Linked DNA regions of Schizosaccharomyces pombe. Changing the gene in region 1 together with any one later gene gives a genetic interaction. Each region holds a gene or a part of one and is shown on either strand. Other genes may lie near its edges.

The links.
Region 2: mutations in acp1 (region 1) and crn1 impair growth when combined (synthetic growth defect), as found in Schizosaccharomyces pombe (2 studies listed by BioGRID, with this or other methods).

The regions. Positions count from the first base shown.
Region 1 is NC_003424.3:4,583,458-4,587,047, forward strand, and holds acp1 (F-actin-capping protein alpha subunit), read left to right. Parts: upstream 1-1,757; 5' UTR 1,758-1,797; coding exon 1,798-1,867; intron 1,868-1,913; coding exon 1,914-2,107; intron 2,108-2,171; coding exon 2,172-2,678; 3' UTR 2,679-3,079; downstream 3,080-3,590. Other genes in the region: peptidase Icp55, read left to right, coding at 1-100, 162-239, 283-504, 554-661, 706-876; succinate dehydrogenase subunit Emi5, read right to left, coding at 1,093-1,219, 1,276-1,568; til1 (tRNA(Ile)-lysidine synthetase family protein), read right to left, coding at 3,127-3,590. UniProt on the Schizosaccharomyces pombe protein: F-actin-capping proteins bind in a Ca(2+)-independent manner to the fast growing ends of actin filaments (barbed end) thereby blocking the exchange of subunits at these ends.
Region 2 is NC_003424.3:1,030,147-1,034,703, forward strand, and holds crn1 (coronin Crn1), read left to right. Parts: upstream 1-1,958; 5' UTR 1,959-2,035; coding exon 2,036-2,069; exon of another isoform or gene 2,070-2,111; coding exon 2,112-2,164; exon of another isoform or gene 2,165-2,212; coding exon 2,213-2,440; exon of another isoform or gene 2,441-2,481; coding exon 2,482-2,570; exon of another isoform or gene 2,571-2,619; coding exon 2,620-4,021; downstream 4,022-4,557. Other genes in the region: histone acetyltransferase Hat1, read left to right, coding at 84-141, 192-295, 357-575, 665-780, 852-1,215, 1,272-1,547; haspin-like kinase Hrk1, read left to right, coding at 4,150-4,557.

The sequences.
Region 1 (3,590 bases):
ATTTGAGAAAGAAGCTGAAATGTCCGCGGAATTCAATTATCGGTTTTGTATTGGAGGCTGTGATAGATCCGCATATGTGCCTGTAGTAGCAGGTGGAAAAGTAAGTAATCAATTCCTGAAAATGCTGAATGCTATTACTTTAAGCTTTATTAACAAAGAAGAATGGCTTGACTATCCATTACACAATTAATAATGATATATTCCGTCCTGACGAAATGGTTTTGGTAGACGCTGGCGGTGTAAGTGCCTTCAATTTTTTGTCAATTAACACTTGCTTAACAGGAATTCGGTGGTTATGTAACAGATATCTCGAGGACTTGGCCCATCAACGGCAAATTTAGTACTGTACAAAGGGATTTATATCAAGCAGTTCTGAATGTGCAAAAGAAATGTATTAAGTATTGTTGCACCAGTAATGGCTGGAGCTTGGCTGATATTCACTTTGAAAGTGTTAAATTAATGCATGAAGAATTGAAGCAGGTCGGCATTCATGGAACTAAACGGGTAAGTTTGCTACTTCGCAAAATATTCGTACTAACTTCCTTGGCTATAGGAGATTACAGATATATTGTATCCGCATTCAATTGGGCATGAGATTGGACTAGAGATTCACGATTGTTCTACGAATAATGGTTACCAACCGTTGCGCAAAAACCAAGTTGTAAGTTGAAGTTCTTTTCAGATTATTTGCTAAACGGGGTTTAGATTACCATAGAACCCGGACTATATGTTCCAGAAGAAGACGGATGGCCTCAATGGGCTCAAGGAATAGCTATTCGAATTGAAGATAGCGTAATCGTTGGTGATGACAAGCCGTTCGTATTAACTAGTGCTGCTCCAAAAGAAATTGAAGAAATTGAAGCTTTGAAAAAGTAGAGATTGTGTTACCTATTGACTAAGAATTAGGACTACATCTGACTATCGTAGAATAAAAGACATTATTTTTGGACTAAGTTTCTTAGAAGTAAGATTGAAGGGAAAAAAATCTATATATACTGTTAAATTTTAATCATTACACGAATTTTTTTTTAATATTTTATTGAAAAGTCAACGTCAAAAATAAACATTAGTTTAGAGAAACAAGAAACGTTTTCAAAATAGTTCTGGCATTCGAAGTGTATGATTCCTCTGACTTCGACAGTATTTGCTCAATTCCTTGAAGACTTGACTCGATTTCCACTTTTCAGGTGCTTCCCTTTCTCCTGAACACCAGTATAGACTAAAAATTGGACGTTAAAATAGCGCACATTAAGTATATCAAGTTCATTTACTTACATATCCCAATCGGGCTCATCTAATAATTGATCATACTCTCGCAGAAGAGATACTGGATATTTATCAATCTGATCTTTGGCGAAATTAGATAAAAGCAAATCCGTTTCCAATATTCCCCGTTTTCTAGATTGATATTTAAGTCTTGCCAACATTGCGTCTCTAGTCTCGTAAGAGCGATTCACCCTTTTTAAATCACCTTTGGTATGCTCGAAGCGAAGTTGAGGCATTCTATTCATACATCTTGCACTTCTTAGAAGCGTCGTGATATTAGATAAGTTTGTCTTCCTTAACATTGTTGATATTTTCAAATGAACAACTAAGCGATTAACCAGACGACCTCCGAGGCTATATTTACTTATATATGAATAAAAAGAAAAAAAAATTAGGTTATAGCTCCTTTTTTTGGAAGATTTGGTAGACTATACAACTCTTTGGTGATAGTTTTGCGGCATTGTCTTCACCATCCGTATTCGTTTCTTACCATTCACCATTGTCCGCACCACATTATAGAAATTTCGAAAGATGGAAAAGGAGGCAATTTACAAACTCATTAGAGAATCTCCTCCAGGAGAAGTTAATCAAGTAGTTCATGGTTTGTTAAAGTGCTGAATACCTCAACATTCTAATGCATATAATAGATATACGCGACATCGGTCTAAGTGATGAGGAAGCAATTCACGAACAACTGAAGCTTTATCATGAAGACTACAACTCTTCTGTCAGCATATCGGATGACGAAAAAGTAATTATTTCAGCTGATAATCGTCTAGAGGGCAATCGCTATTATGATCAAGTTTTACAGAAATCATTTACCATTAATTATGAAACTATGGTAAGGTTAAATTTTTCAAATCTTTTTTTTGTGATAATTGTTAAATAGCTAACAGTATTCATAGGAAGCTGAAAACGTTGAAGATTATACCGAAGCCATAAAAATTCCCGATGAAATAGTAAAGCAAATTAAAAAGGTTGCTTCGGATCACTATCTATCTGATGTAACATTTGGAATCATCAAAAAAAGCGATGAAGTGGAATCGTTTACAATTGTTTTGGTTTCTTCAAAGTATAATCCCAAGAACTATTGGAACGGTTCGTGGCGCTGTATATGCAATTACAACGTTTCGGAAAAGAAACTGGAAGGCAGGTCGCATATTCGTGTTCATTACTATGAAGACGGAAATGTTTGGTTGGATGCATCCCGTCCTATTTCTGCTACAGTCGAGGAGACCAGTAAGCTTTATGAAGTGTTGGCTCAAGTCGAAAATGGAATTCAACAGTCCTTCAACGTTGAACTTTCTTCACTTAATGACAAAAAGTTTAAAGAATTGCGTCGTCAACTTCCAGTCACTCGCCAGAAAATTAATTGGGAAAACGTTAGTGGCATCCGTATGAGAAATACTTGAAACACTTATATGTGTTTATAAATTTTGGAAATTTTTTTGCGACGATATTTTTTAAGACGGTGATTCAAGCTGTTTCCTTTTCCTTCTTCCTAAATACATATACATTGTCGCTCGATATACGACTAATAATTACTAGTCGTTTACTTTCTAAAACTTTACAAGAGCAACTCACACGCTCTTTTCTTAAACTCTTATAAGTTTTAGGAAATTATTTTTTTACGATCAATAATACAAGTTCTTCATCATTTTTTTACCGCTCGTCACCAGTAATTTAAGGGCGTATTACTTTTTGTGTGTAAGCATCAGTCGTGCTATTTATCACCAGAATATGCTCTGAGCATCTGACTTTCACCTCTGACTTTGTGATAATATAAATAAATAATGAGGCATTATTAAATCACAAATCTTGTATCTCTAATTAACATTGATTTCATGGTTCAAGCAGCAATTAAAGCTTGAACTTGTGTAGACAGTTTGAGATAATATCACTTCTAAAATTAAACCCAAAAGTAGGTATTCCAACTAACTTATCGTTTTCTTCCGACAAGACTGGAATAGTAAACCTGATATGGCCCGGAACTTGTATACAAAATTTAAGAAACTCTTCCTTACTCAAAAATCCCTTCAATGAATTTAGATCTTTGGAAAGCAACGGTCTAAGTATAAGTGTAGTCTGTGTATTTTTGCAACTGTACTTTATCCAAAACCTGTGATCCCATAAAACATAACGATCAGGATTTATGGTTATAGTTTTTTTTTTCAATTCAGCTTTACTAAATGGTTGTCTGGAAATTTGGAGTTGTAATTTAGTGTCGTCCTTTATAGAAGAGGAAGTGAGTAGACATTTAGCAATTGTTAGCTTTTTTCCATCAAAAACTGAATTACAAAGGCTTACAACAGAAGATCGTTTAA
Region 2 (4,557 bases), 3.6 Mb from region 1:
GTTTGTTACTTCCAACTAGACACATGTATTTTTTGTTGTTTGACTTGAAATAGGGTCAGGTATTCAATTTTCCGTATGCAGTGATGAGTGCTGTTGATGAATGGGTACATAATGCCAATGAATGCATAGAAATTGTACAAGGTATGCTATGTTAAATTATAATGTTTTTACCTTGTGTTAACACCTGTCAGTAAACGAAAAGCATGAAAAAGATTGTCAATACCATCCTAGCAATACATATGCAATATTTGGAGATGCTGAGGTTATTTATGGATATAAAGATCTAAATGTCACTGTAAGATTAAATCAGCAAGTTTTAGTCATGAAATTTGATTGCAAATAGTAACAGTTATTAGATAACCTATGAATGCCCATTGATGGTCCCAAAACTGGAAATCTCATATTCAGAGCGCCTAGCACCAGATTCAGGAGTGGAACCAACTGATATTGAAGGAACATTAAACACTTATCTAAAAGATCGTTCCATTAAGGTTGAAGGAAACTCATTTGACGTTCATTCGGCAAATAGTATTCATAACTATTCCTTTAATGGAAAAACATTCAAGATTTTACAAGTATGTTCGATTACCTTTCAATTGGAGAAGTATTCAATTATTGAATATCCCTATATGTTCTTTGGCTAATAATCGTAATGTATTAATAGGCAACGGTTCTTGAAGCTAGTGAGATTATGCAGCATTTGCAAATATTTTCCTTATTTTTTATTGAAGGGGGCTCTTTTATTGACCTTAATGATCCAAGATGGATGGTATATTTACTGTAAGTTTGTTATTTTCTACGCGTCTACTTTCCTTTTACCTTTTTATCGAGGTTTTATTAACAAAAATAAGTTACGAGACTACTGAAGATGATTATTGCTTACGTGGTTATTGTACTGTATACAAATATTATAAATGGGACAAATTAATTCACGATGGTATTCGAGCTCGTATCTCACAATTCGTGATTTTACCCCCTTTTCAACATCAAGGACACGGTTCGCAATTGTACAATGCTATTGTTAGTACCTTTTTGAAAAATCCTAAAATTTTAGACTTCACAGTTGAGGATGCATCGGAAGCGTTTGATAGCCTTAGAGACCATTGCGACTATAAAAGATTATTATCAATGGGAATATTTTCAGAACCTGACTTTCATCCCTCTCTTTCTAGGCAGTGGATAAACTCGAAAATAGCTGAAACAAAGTTAACCCAGGTTCGTAATTTGCTAAATTTACCATGCAATGCAACTTACTAATTGTCTTTTTTTAGCGTCAATTCTCACGCTGTTGTGAATTAGCATTTACAACGAAACTAAAAAAGCTTTCATTATTGGAGCGGAAATCTGTTAGACTAGGAATAAAGGAAAGGATTTTTCGTCAAAATCTTGATGTGTTGCTACAGTTGGATAAGTCCGAACGTATTGAAAAAATTCATAACGCCTATGAAAATCAGTTTGATGAGTATAAACAGATTGTCAAAAAGCTACCCAAGCTTAAGGAAGATTCGCCTCGAAAACGCCAAAAACTTGCTCAATCTTCTTCCTAAATGAAAACACTTTTAGAGATCTGAAATACTTTGAGAATATTGAAGGCATATTAGCATAAAAAGTTATGAGAATCGACTAAATTACACTATTGGACGCAATTACTTTTTATATAATTTGCTTTTGAAAGCTTTCGCTTGAAATGATTAAAGACATTTGAAACAGTGATCATTTTAATAATATAAATTTTGTATATATTTTGCAAATTTAGTGTGATATCTAGTTTAATAAAATCTATAAAGGCACCTTATAAAAATTCAAACAATTCCTCATAATGAACTGCTTTTTCCAAAATTTAAATATTTTAATATCTACTATCAATAATATTGGTTATTTTCAACGACCAGTACAACTTTAGGTGCTTGTCATTCTCATCCGTCCTCCTTCCTATTCCGATCCCGACTTTGTTCATTACCTGACACCCCGGATAAAGTTAGCTCAATTAGCAAATTCTCATTCGATCTTATAAAGGAATTATTCTTTTTCAAAAATGAGTGGAAGATTTGTGAGAGCTAGTAAATATAGTACGCATGCTTTTTGAGTAAATAATTATTAACTGACGTTAGGACATATCTTTGGACAAACCTGCAAAAAAGAACTTTGCTACGACAACATAAAGGTTGGTCGATACTTTAATGGTTTGAAATTTACTAATTGTCTTCAATAGCTTAGCAATAATGCATGGGATTCTAACCTATTGAGTGTGAACCCCTTTTACCTCAGTGTTAATTGGAATGCGGGAGCTGGAGGTGCATTGGCAGTTATCCCTTTAAACGAAAGAGGAAAGCTTCCCGATCAAGTTAATTTGTTTCGGGGCCATACTGCGGCTGTTTTAGATACTGATTGGAATCCCTTCCATGATCAAGTATTAGCATCCGGCGGTGATGATTCTAAGGTATCCTGCTATTTGACTTTATTTATGTATTAACGAATTAGATTATGATATGGAAAGTACCAGAAGATTATACTGTTATGGAGCCTTATGAAGATGTTCATCCAATTGCTGAATTAAAGGGCCATAGCCGGTATGTCGTACATTGCATTAGGGTTTTAGTTACTGACTTTTTTGTATAGTAAAGTTGGTCTTGTTCAATATCATCCCACTGCAGCGAATGTTTTGGCATCTTCTAGTGCAGACAATACTATCAAGTTGTGGGATTGTGAGAAGGGTGTAGCCCATGTATCTCTGAAAATGGATGTAATGTGCCAGTCTATGTCGTTCAACGCTGATGGTACCAGACTTGTAACAACTTCTCGAGATAAGAAAGTTCGCGTCTGGGACCCTCGTACTGATAAACCAGTCTCCGTTGGAAATGGTCATGCAGGTGCTAAAAATCCCCGTGTCGTTTGGCTCGGGAGCCTTGATCGTTTTGCTACAACTGGTTTCAGTAAAATGAGTGATCGTCAAATCGCTTTATGGGACCCTACCAATCTGTCTGAACCGATAGGTGGTTTTACCACATTAGACACCGGTTCGGGAATCCTTATGCCATTCTGGGATGATGGAACAAAGGTAATATATCTAGCAGGTAAAGGTGATGGTAATATTCGCTATTACGAATATGAAAACGATGTTTTCCATTATTTATCTGAATTCAAGTCCGTTGATCCCCAACGAGGCATTGCCTTTTTGCCAAAACGCGGAGTTAATGTTTCTGAAAACGAAGTTATGCGTGCTTATAAGTCCGTGAACGATTCTATCATTGAACCTATAAGTTTCATCGTTCCTCGCCGATCTGAAAGTTTCCAAAGCGATATTTACCCTCCAGCCCCATCTGGTAAACCAAGCTTAACAGCTGAAGAATGGGCCAGTGGGAAAGATGCTCAGCCTGATCTTTTAGATATGTCTACTTTGTATGAGTCTAAAGGTACTGTTGAAAAGGCTGTTTCCGCTACAGTACCCTCAGCTGGTGCTCAGGTACAAAAACATAACGAAGAGAAGGTTGAGACACCAAAGCCCGAAGCTCAGCCAGTTAGCAAGCCGAAAGAATCGGCGGAAGAACAAAAGCCTTCCAAAGAGCCGGAGGTGAAACCAACTACTCCTTCGGCATCAAAAGTAGAAGAACCATCGAAGAAACGTGATGAGGATAATCATCAGAAAGAAGAAACTGTAACCCAGCCCAAGCGTGAGAAAACACCTGTTGAAAAATCTTTTCCGAAACCAGCTAGTAGCCCTGTTACCTTTTCAGAAGATGTAAAGAAAGAACCATCAGAGGAAAAGAAATTGGAAGTTTCTGACGAAGCACCCAAAGCTGCTCCTCTTGCCGAAAGTAAGAAAGTTGAAGAGAAAGAACCCTTTTATGTTTCAAAAGATAAGAAAGATATTTCAGCAGTCAATCTGGCCGATCTCAATAAACGTTTCGAAGGTTTTGAGAAACGATATGAGGAAGAACTCGCAATCCGAGACTGGAAAATTGCCCAATTGGAGGATAAGCTGGCTAAATTAACAGAAGCAATTAAAGAAAAATGTAATTAAGTTTTTTTGTGCATTTTTTATTTTGTCCAGAATGCTTTTTTAAACATATCACTAAGCCCGGACATCATGCCTTCTCCATCTCACCTCCGTACCTTACTACCTCAATATTTACAAATGTAGGAAAAGATATGGAAAGTCGTTCAAAAGTTAAAACTTATGGAAAGAACCGTAGATATATTAATAAAGATATTGAAATTTGGGCTTCTTTAGATGAACGGCCTTGTGCTTTGAAACCTCGGAACATTGAAAATTTTAATAACCAAGAAAGAAGTGACCTTGAGCATATTCACTCTAAACCGAAAAAAGATTCATTATTATCTTGGAACATTCTCTTAAAAAAAGGTTCATACAAAGAAAATGAGTTATTGGCGAAACGAAATCAAAACCTGGTACCTACTGTCATAATACCGGCTTCTCCTCGGGATAATGCATCAAAGTCGGTAGTCAGTAAAAAAGAGGTTGTAAATTTGTCATCTTCTGTTGCTTTATCCGGAAAACCCGCAAATAATTCCAAATTAGATCCACTTCATCGGCTC